Linked DNA regions of Callithrix jacchus. The protein of the gene in region 1 purifies or fractionates together with the protein of each later gene. This does not show direct contact. Links are inferred from orthologs where the notes say so. Each region holds a gene or a part of one and is shown in the gene's direction. Other genes may lie near its edges. The genes, in order: FHL2, EYA3 and CNOT1.

Region 1 (3,654 bases):
TTATAGCACTTAGACACAGTGCCTAAAACTACCAAGATACATCACAACTTGGTTCAACAGCTAGTATGTAAAGTAAGTGTTGTAGAGGCTGCTCACTGAATCAGGTTCAAGGTCCCAGGTTCATTCACACTCCAGCCATTTCCATCCTGCTGCCAACCAGATGGGGTGTTCGTTAGCAGGTGTGCAGTAGGTGAATACAGTCCCTATACTTCAAAATTCATACTCCATAGAAATTCATCGGAGCTATGCCACACTTCTCATTATATTTTGCATCGCTGAGAGAGGCTTAACTTTTTTTAGATTTAACATTCCTAACCACAATATTCAATAAATAAATGTTAAGTACCTAAAATGTACATGTGTTATTCTAGGAGCTGGGTAGGTGTACAGTAGTGAACCAAAAGACAGCACTGCCCTGTACAAAACGGAATTACCTCCATTCAGAGGGGAGCCTTCAAGACCTGGAATGAGTTGCTCTGGTCACAAAACTAGATGGCAGCAAGCTCTGAAGGTGGATTGCTGGGACTCCATGCCCCTCTAACCATACCTATGCTTTGTTCCTCTTGACCCTGATGACAGGTACCCGCAAGATGGAGTACAAGGGCAACAGCTGGCACGAGACCTGCTTCATCTGTCACCGTTGCCAGCAGCCAATTGGAACCAAGAGTTTCATCCCCAAAGACAATCAGAATTTCTGTGTGCCCTGCTATGAGAAACAACACGCCATGCAGTGCGTTCAGTGCAAAAAGGTATCTCAGATTCCTCATTGGCCCTTGCATGTTCTGGCCAGTTTGCCTCCACAGTCCGTGTCTGTCAGTTCTCTTTCCAAAAACAAGGATACTTGTGATACTTGAATGGCATGAGAGCTGTGCCTGTCCTGCCTTATATTCTGAGCATTTATTTGTTGGGTCTGTGTTCCCATCCTTCTTTCAAAGACATCAACACTGTTGCATTCTGTGAGCAAGTTATTTAACCCTGACTTCTTCTAGACCATTTCTGAATATGTTTTCGTGTTGATGACCTGATGTTAGATGGAAGGGGAGCCACTATCCCAAAGCTGTCTTGTTCACTGCTCTCCATGAATAAAACAGGAAAACAACTGCAAACTTGAGAGGGAGAGAAAGATGAAAGGAAGAGGGAGGAGAGGAAGGGAGGGAGCAGGGAGGAGAGAGGGATGGTGTGAGAAGAAAAGTAAAGGAGAAAAGGTCTGGCCACATGGATATGGGATAGATGATTTATTAAATGCATCTACTCTGGCCATATATTATGGTGGCTCATGCCTGTAATCTCAGAACTGTGGGAGGCCAAGGCTGGTGGATCACCTAAGGTTAGGAGTTCAAAACCAGCCTGGGCAACATAGTGAAACCCCATCTCTACTAAAAATAAAAAGCTTAGACAGGTATGATGGCACACACCTGTAGTCCCAGCTACTTGGGAGGCTGAGGCAGGAGAATTGCTTGAACCCGGGAGGTACGTTGCAGTGAGCTGAGATCGCGCCACTGCACTCACACCTGGGCGAGAGAGTGAGACTTTATCTCAAAAAATAAAAAAAATAAACCTATCTGCTCTATAATGTGTGGTCCCAGCCATGGCTCTGTTTGGGTTAAAGAGGGAAAGAGAACCGCACACCTGTAGGAAGCCGTCTCTCTCCTACCCGCCCTATTGCCCCCACCTGTACCCTTTAGGGTATAGCTTAGTTTTCTGCTGTGCCCGCTGGCTCTTACAGACACGCAACATTGATTATGCTATAGCTTCCAGTGTCTCTGTGCTGCTAGGATTTGTGCCAGCCTGTGGAGTGGCACCCTCCCACTGCTCACTCGCCCTGGGCAGTGCCAGCTCTAGAACTCATTGCAGGCTCTGTTTGCTCTCATCCTTTTATCGGCTCTGCTCACCCAGATTCTACTGTTTTTGCCCTTGGGGCCTTTACCCTTTCCTCTGGGCTACGGAGAAACATCCCCTATATTGCTACCTGGGCGAGAATACGTTCACCTTGCCTGCACCTTTTCTAAGTGCTGAGCGTTCTTAAAAATTTCCATTCAACTTTTCTCTCTTGTTTCCTTCTGTTTGTTTCCATTTGTTCTTTTTTTTTTAAGACAGAATCTCACTCTATCGCCCAGGCTAGAGTGCAGTGGCATGATCTTGGCTCACTGCAACCTCTGCCTCTCTGGTTCAAGCAATTTCTCCCGACTCAGCCTCCCAAGTAGCTGGGATTTCAGGTGCGCGCCACCATACCTAGCTGATTTCTTTGTATTTTTAGTTGAGACAAGGTTTCACCATGTTGGCCAGGTTCGTCTTGGAACTCCTGACCTCAGGTGATTGGCCCACCTTTGCCTCCCAAAGTGCTGGGATTATAGGCGTGAGCCACTGTGCCCAGCCCCGTTTGTTCACTACTGTTATTTTAAATTTTATTTCTCTTTATTTCCTCTTCTCTTATGCTACTGTTTCTTTCTTTTTTTGAGCCAGTTTCACTCCATCACCTGGGCTAGAGTACAATGGCATGATCTCAACTCACTGCAACCTCTGCCTCTCGGGTTCAAGTGATTCTCCTGCCTCAGCCTCCTGAGTAGCTGGGATTACAGGCAGGTGCCACCACCACACCTGGCTAATTTTTGTATTCTTTTTTAGTAGAGACGGGGTCTCACCATGTTGGCCATACTGGTGCACACTCCTGTTTTTTCCTTTATTCTTAGAGTGAGCTCTCATTCCTGCTTTTATTTTAGGAACTCTCTTCCCTGTTCTTCCCTTTATATTTTTATTTTGTTTTATTTTTCTCATCAAGACCTAATGGAAGTTTATTTGAATTGCCCTTATTCTGTCATCTTTCCAACACGTGCTTTACTCATTTGCAGAAATGAAGGCAACACATCCTTTCTGGGATGCATGCCTGTGTGCACATGTTCATTAAATACACATACGAACATTCATGCCAAAAGCATCCATTCCTTGATGTGAACATGGCCCTCTCAGTTTGTCCGATGCTGGACAAAACACAGACACTAACTATAGTCAAGGTGGAAGTACACTCCAATGTCAATTTCATCAGTAGTTACTGAGCAGTGTGCTTTGGAGGAGAAGAGCAGAGTGTGGAATGGAAGAACCTCAACTCATCTGAGGAGTGTGGGGCCAGGGTGGTGTTTAGGGAAGGAGTCTCTGAGAAAGTCATGCTCTGCTGAGAGGCATTGAGTTAGCTGATGTGGGTGGGAAGCATGGAATCCGGAGTGAGGGAGGACTCGGGATGTATGTTGCAGGCAGAGGAGATGTCTTACACACACAGGCTGCTGCACCCACATGGATACGTTGCAACCAAGCGTGTTTTGTGTTCATTCTCTTGTGCAGTGGGGTGAATTACAGGAAGATGCTCTATGATTTATGGTTTAATGAAAGGAATACAAGATAGAAGGGAGTCCAGAATTCTAGCTTCTGCTTTGCCAGCTATGAATTCTTAGGCAAGTCACTTAATTTCTCTGAGTCTCAGTTTACTCATTCATAAAATTCAGATAATATCTTTTTTTTTTTTTTTTTTTTGAGACGGAGTCTTGCTCTGTTGCCAGGCTGGAGTGCAGTGGCACAATCTCTGCTCACTGCACCCTCTTCCTCTGGGGTTCAAGCGATTCTTCTGCCTCAGCCTCCCGAGTATCTGGGACCACAGGCACA
Region 2 (3,333 bases), on another chromosome or scaffold:
TTTTACCAACTGTGTTGGAATGAGTCCTGTTTTCATGCAGCTGCTTCTTTACTTTGAGCTGTTAATAACTCTCTTGGTCTCTTAATCCTTTTAAAGGAGACATTACAGAGTATATTTCATCCTTGATCATTGCATGCCAGGACAATGAAATTGTCTGTGTTCTTATCCTCTAAATATGAGTTACTACCTTTGTTGAGTCTTACAAGAAAGTCAAATCTGACTCAAAAAGAGTTGTTTGCTACAGACAGATCATAGTAGGCCGTGCATCTGGTGGAGGTTGGCTTAGTTTGTAAAGCTGCAATGGTTGAAATGAAATTAGACAAAGAACTCTTTCATACCTTGAACATAGTAAGAGTTTATTATTAGTTGAACTGTTTAATGTTTGAACTGAATTGAGGCATAAGACCTGGACTGCAGTCCTCCACTGAATCATTTGTGAGATGAATATGACTTTACTCAGCAAACATTGATTGAAGTCTTATATGAATGTAAGGCATGACAAGTCTATTCAAAATGTTAGCACTAAAGAGACCCAAGTGCACCTAAGTCAAGCCTTATATTATAAGTGGCCAATGGAGCCCAGAGTGGACTAGTGTCTGGTCCAGTTGACTAGTCCATCTGTTTTGAGGTGCTGCTGGAGTAAGGATGTCAGAGATTTGCAGGTACATATCTGCATGACTTCTCCTGTGCCAAGTAGGACTTCTGAGTATGGAAGTATAGGTTCTGGCCAATTATAGTTACCTTAGATTTGCATATTTACATATTGCAATGATTTTCCAGCAGATGGCAGTCAAGTGTCTTGAGGAAGAGGCACTTATATCTTATTCACACAGGGACCCTGGTGCTAAGTCACTCTGTTGGGCAAGAGGAAAGAACAAGAAGGTTAATAGAGCAGGATGAAGAAGAAAGCCAAAGTTAGGATTGTGCTTAACTGAAGGAGATGGCAGAAACAGGGAAATAAAAAGAGCAAGGGATACTTTTATTTATGCAAATAAAGTATCTTTCCCCCAGCAGTACGATCTGTGAATGTTTTCGGTGTTGGTTTCAGGTGGGATTGGAGTTTTAGTACACTGGCACGTTTCTCAAAACTGTCATCTGCAGTTCTGAGAAACAGTTTTAAATCACTTATTTCCCAAGGGCAGTTTCAGTGGTGCAATATCTTGGTTACAACTACAAAGTATAGTAAGTAAGAAAGTTCCAGATATGACAAATGTCGCTGCCGTATTTATTGGCCACTTTTCTCAGTTCTATTCTGGGGCTCTTCCCTCACCAAAGACACAAGACCCACACCCAGAACTGCTTCTGGGAAATGAAGAATTGGAGGGAAATGGCTTTTTGTTTGTTATTGTTTCTAACAAGAAATTAGGGCCTTGTGCTATCACTTCTCTTTCCTTCCCTAAAATCATTCATTTTAAAATCATTTCATTGCCCCTCAAAAATCATTCATTTATTATGGCACAATGACCAGAGCCTAGATTTGGAGTCAGGGGTCCCTAGTTCTAGCTACTCACTTGTTTGTGATCTAGGGGCAAGTCACTAAACCTATGAATCCCTCCCATTTATAGAAATTCCCTCACACTAAGATCTTAGGGACTTCACCTTCAAGGTGAAGGTTAAAATCAATTGTTATTTTAATGACACAACTTCACATTTTTTGGTCTACTGGATCTCTAGCTCCCACCCCTACTCCCCAGCAAGCAAACTACACAGGATGTCACTTAGTCCACCTAAGCACAGGCAGGTGAACCTAGCAGCATTTGAAAAGAAGAGAAGAGTATTCTAACAGGAAATTTTTCTCATCAGGTAAGGAGAGCTGCTTTGAGAGAATTGTGTCAAGATTTGGAAAGAAAGTCACTTATGTAGTGATTGGAGATGGACGAGATGAAGAAATTGCAGCCAAACAGGTAACCACGGTAAAGAAAATGTCTATGTGGTTGTATACCGACTCATTAAAAAAATGGTAAAAACTACAAAATCTTAGCAATCTATTAGCATTTATAGCATTTCCTCCTCTTTCTTCCCTCCTCATTTTTCTTTAAAGAAAAAGAGGGTCTTTTTCTTCTCCAGATGGAGTTTTTCCTCTAAGTTTTTAGATCCTTCCCTTCCTTTTCCTCCCTGCCACTCAAGAATCTTAAAATCATTAAGCCTTTCTATAGGGATCCCATCATTAAACCTGAGATGTGCCCCATCTTCCATCTTCATCTTCAAAGACAGTGCCTTCTCAAGCATCAGACTCGACTGCAAAAAGCCTAATCATTCTTAGGCATGAACTAACCATGCTTCAAGTTCTCAGATAGTGCAATCAATAGAGAGCTGTTTCTATAGAGAAAGTCCTTCCTGCCTTTGAGCCCTGGAAAGATTGTTCTGATGTTAACACCACCACTCTACAGGTCCCAACTTCAGGTCACCCCTTCTTAACACAGGAAACAATAGATGAAAGAGTCTTGGCTGTAGAACCTAAAATCCCATCTGTGTATCAGCTATGTGACTTTGAGCAGTTTACTTACCCTCTTTGAGTACCCTCATGTGCTAAATGGATCTGTAGAAGTTCTTTCCCTCCCTACCCCAATTTATTTTCTTCCAGCAACTCTGTTTCTTAGACATGGAGGCATTGGGTTGCCAGCTAGAACCAACTGCCCTGATACTCTTCATTCAGTTAAGTAGAAACCTTAGCAACTATAATAAACTATGAGATTGGTAATCAGCTGGCATTATTATATCATGTTTTCATTTGCCACTTTATGTAGCAATTCAGGGATCTTTATTTTTTTGCATATAATATCACTGAAGCTTTGATTCTAATGTGCTTCTTATTGCCCTCTTTGGGAAGGACACTAGTGGGTGTAGGCATCAGTGATTCCTGGTCTGAAGAAGGGTATTGGGGAGAGAAAGAACAACTCAAGTCATCAGCAGAGGTGGTAACTCTCGGACTAATGTCTATAATCATGTACGATAGAATATACCCATTGAGGCTGAGCATGGTAGCGCACGCCTATAATCCCAGCACTTGGGGAGACCAAAGCAGGTAGACCACTTGAGGTCAGGAGTTCGAGACCAAACTGGCCAACATGGTGAAACCCCTTCTCTACTAAAAATACAAAAATTAGCCAGGCATGGTGGTAGACGCCTGTAATCCCATCTACTCTGGAGGCTGAGGCACAAGAATTGCTTGAACCCTGGAGGCAGTTGTAGTGAGCCAAGATCACACCACTGCACTCCAGCCTGGGCAAGACTCTATCTCAAAAAACAAACAAACAAGAAAGAATATACCCATTGGAAAATGCCTTAGCACTTTGTCCAGTTCAACCTATACTCTGTGAAGGATCTTTTCTG
Region 3 (3,654 bases), on another chromosome or scaffold:
CTTTTTATGAAAATGAAGAACACAAAATGAACTTAACTAGGTAGAATTTAGAGTATGTGTGATAGGCAACTGAAAAGGATGTTTGGAAAGTGGAAGGGACAGTCTTGAGGCTTTGGAAGGTATTTGGTAATGGGCATTGAGATTTGATTTCTGGCCTTGATAGTTGGGGCTGAGCACTGTATTTGCCATGGTTTTGAACACTTTCTTTCTCACATAGGCTGTAGAGGGCTTACTAGATGCCACAAGTGGTGCTGATGCTGACCTTCTGCTGCGCTACAGGGAATGCCACCTCTTGGTACTAAAAGCTCTGCAGGATGGCCGAGCATATGGGTCTCCATGGTGCAACAAACAGATCACAAGGTCAGTAGTCATCTTGGAAAAGTCGTGAGTGTTGGACTTCGATTGCCTTTCGACATAGATAACATAGATATGTCCAGGGGTTTCCCTTTTTTCTAGTAGGTAGATGGGAGGGACACTTGAACTTTCTACTTCTGAGAGGTGAGAATTGTTAAGTAGTTATTTTCCATCAGGTCTCTACCTTCTCCTCATGTTGGATATAGAAAAAACCAGTACCTTGTTTTGGGGAATAAATTGTAGGTCATTGTTTTAAAAGGTTTCAGTGATTTCTCAGACGTGGTATTCATGTATAAGTATTTTAATGTCTTAAATGGAATCCTCTGTTTCCTAGGATTTGAAAGCAAAGCCTGGGCTATCTGTTCTGTTCATTACTGGCTGTTTTTAAATTTGGACACTGATTTGCAGTTGAATCTCAAGGCATTCTTAATTTGGAGCAAATTTCCATTGAGTAAAATGAGTACTTTATTTTATACAGTATAGCCATACTGTATAAAGATTAGATGACTAAAGACATTTGAACCTTTTCTAGGTGCCTAATTGAATGTCGGGATGAATATAAATATAATGTGGAGGCTGTGGAGCTGCTAATTCGCAATCATTTGGTTAATATGCAACAGTATGATCTTCATTTAGCGCAGGTATGGAAGGAATTTACTTGCAAAGACAAAAGGACTCTGGGAATTATGTTTGTTCTTAAGTGTTTTCCCTCTCAAACTGTGTTTTCTGTGTTGCCAGTCAATGGAGAATGGTTTAAACTACATGGCTGTGGCATTTGCTATGCAATTGGTGAAAATCCTGCTGGTGGATGAAAGGAGTGTTGCCCATGTTACCGAGGCAGATCTGTTCCACACCATTGAGACCCTCATGAGGATTAATGCTCATTCCAGAGGCAATGCTCCAGAAGGGTGAGGATGAAATGCTTTGAGATCCCCGTGCATTTAGTAGTCTAGTATCTTTAGGAATGAATGTGCAGACTTACTAACATTACTTGTTATAACTGCTTTACCAACAAGCTGTGGGTGAGTAACTTTGGTAAGGGCAAAAGCTTAATTTACTGCCAAGCCTTTTTGGCATAGAGCAGTACATATGGTACCAGACTTAGTGTCAGAGTCCTGTGTTTAAGCCTTGGTCATGCCACTTAAAAGCTTTCTGATTTTAGGCAAATTGACTAACCCCCCTTAAACTTTTTTTCTTTTTTGGGACAGTCTCACTTTGTCACCAGGCTGGAGTGCAGTGGTACAATCTCGGCTCCCTGCAACCTGTTTCCTGGGTTCAGGTGATTCTCCTGCCTCAGCTTCCTGAGTAGCTGAGACTACAGTCATGTGCCACCATGCCCAGCTAGTTTTTCTAAAGAGACAGGGTTTCACCATCTTGGCCAGGATGGTCTTGATCTCTTGACTCGTGATCCACCCGCCTTGGCTTCCCAGAGTGCTGGGATTACAGACGTGAACCACCGTGCTCTAGCAATCTGTTCCTTATATAAAAAGGAAATAATTTCTCAAAGAATGATTGAAAATCAAGAGAAGTAATATAAAGAAAGTATGGTACATACTAGACAAGCAGTGAATATTTATTAACTCTGAACATCAGCTACATTTCAATGAACATATATTTTGGGTAAGAAGTAGCTAAACTGAGGGCAGCCATTTGCATGTTATGTACTCATAAGCAGATAAGAAGAGACGAAGGATAGTTTTGCTTCAGTTTGGAAGTGGTAAAGTGAAGTGGTAAACCACTCTTTTGGTTGCTGTTAAATAAGTAAATTATCCATCTGTGTCTGTAAAATCACAACTACGAGTAGACTGATTTTCACCATGGATTCATTGTATTAGGTTGCCCCAGCTGATGGAAGTAGTGCGATCCAACTATGAAGCAATGATTGATCGTGCTCATGGAGGCCCAAACTTTATGATGCATTCTGGGATCTCTCAAGCCTCAGAGTACGATGACCCTCCGGGCCTGAGGGAGAAGGCAGAGTATCTTCTGAGGGAATGGGTGAATCTCTACCATTCAGCAGCAGCTGGCCGCGACAGTACCAAAGCTTTCTCTGCGTTTGTTGGACAGGTAGAGCTTTTGGAAAGAAAGGTGCTTTTTATTCAACATAAGTAGGGTGTGATGCCTCCAGTATTAAAGCTCAGTATTACATCCCTGTTGTCAGACAGTTACTTCCATACTCATGCAAATACAAAATGTCATCATTATGTGGTTAAATTTATAGTCTGTTTTCTCATGGTTGATCACTAAGCAGTAAAGTCAACGTTTCCTGCCCATTATTGGTTCTGTATATTCCATTTCAGTTGTCACAGCTACAAAGTACAATGGGTCAGATAATGAATAATGAAACTACCAAATGTAATTTTACTAGCACTGATGGGACTGTGGGCTAATAAATATGTAAAATTCTCACAGTAGCCCACATTAAAAAAAAAAGATATAGTAAAACAAAATGCTTAACTATTGAAATGGTCGAGTGTTTTAAGGTATTTTCTAGTTTAAATATCTATTTAAACGTAGTGACATTTTTTTTTTGGACAATAATTTCCAGTATTTCTTTTCATTAGATTTAATGCAAATTGGACTTTGAGTTAAAGTCTTAAGAATAAAGCTCCTAGCTGAAAATCAGGTTTGGCAGTAATGTTTGTGAATAGGATGAACAGGAAAAGGGAGCCATAGTACCATTTAGCATTCTGTTTTTGATTGTCACTGGCTCCTTTCAGCGACTGTGAGGGAATCAGACCCAATAAGTCCATGTGTCCCAATTATAACTTGGCAAGAGTGGTACTTTAACTGAATTGACGTTGGAATTTCCTTTATTAGAATGCTGCAATTTTTTTTCAGGGTGAGTTGTCTACTTATTTCTGCGGATTGACCATTATATTTCTTCAAACTGAACCCAAAATTTAGGTATATTGCTAAAGAAAGGTGACAAATTAGGTCTCTTTTCAAATTAATGACAATTGAATGTGGAAGGGCTGACTTGAATTCTAAAAATTTACTTGAAATTGGATTTACTGTTCAAAATGAATGTTACTCAGTAAATTGTACTGAGTGTATTTCTCCCCTGAAAGAATCCAGGGAATTACAAAACATACCCTACTGAAAAGCTGTTACTGCATGTTTATAGTCTGATTTATAATTTGAAAGGAAGAAATTGGAATCCGTTGGTCTTTGTGACCATTGCTATTTCATGGGTATGGATGTGGCACCTGTCTCTGCCCTTCCTGTTGGCTTGTTTGCTTTCATTTCTTCTTTCTCTTCAAAAAGATAGTATATTACACTTTTCTGCTTCGTATCCTT

What was found.
Region 2: the proteins of FHL2 (region 1) and EYA3 purify together in Homo sapiens (affinity purification with mass spectrometry; 3 studies listed by BioGRID and IntAct, with this or other methods). This does not show direct contact. The link is inferred for Callithrix jacchus from reciprocal best matches to the Homo sapiens genes FHL2 and EYA3.
Region 3: the proteins of FHL2 (region 1) and CNOT1 purify together in Homo sapiens (affinity purification with mass spectrometry; 3 studies listed by BioGRID and IntAct, with this or other methods). This does not show direct contact. The link is inferred for Callithrix jacchus from reciprocal best matches to the Homo sapiens genes FHL2 and CNOT1.

The regions. Positions count from the first base shown.
Region 1 is NC_133515.1:15,441,878-15,445,531, reverse strand, and holds part of FHL2 (four and a half LIM domains protein 2), read left to right. Parts: intron 1-579; coding exon 580-749; intron 750-3,654. UniProt on the Homo sapiens protein: May function as a molecular transmitter linking various signaling pathways to transcriptional regulation. Negatively regulates the transcriptional repressor E4F1 and may function in cell growth.
Region 2 is NC_133508.1:64,652,742-64,656,074, reverse strand, and holds the end of EYA3 (protein phosphatase EYA3), read left to right. Parts: intron 1-1,803; coding exon 1,804-1,904; intron 1,905-2,584; coding exon 2,585-2,692; 3' UTR 2,693-2,698; downstream 2,699-3,333. UniProt on the Homo sapiens protein: Tyrosine phosphatase that specifically dephosphorylates 'Tyr-142' of histone H2AX (H2AXY142ph). 'Tyr-142' phosphorylation of histone H2AX plays a central role in DNA repair and acts as a mark that distinguishes between apoptotic and repair responses to genotoxic stress.
Region 3 is NC_133521.1:16,396,962-16,400,615, reverse strand, and holds part of CNOT1 (CCR4-NOT transcription complex subunit 1), read left to right. Parts: intron 1-217; coding exon 218-360; intron 361-886; coding exon 887-995; intron 996-1,092; coding exon 1,093-1,262; intron 1,263-2,189; coding exon 2,190-2,442; intron 2,443-3,654.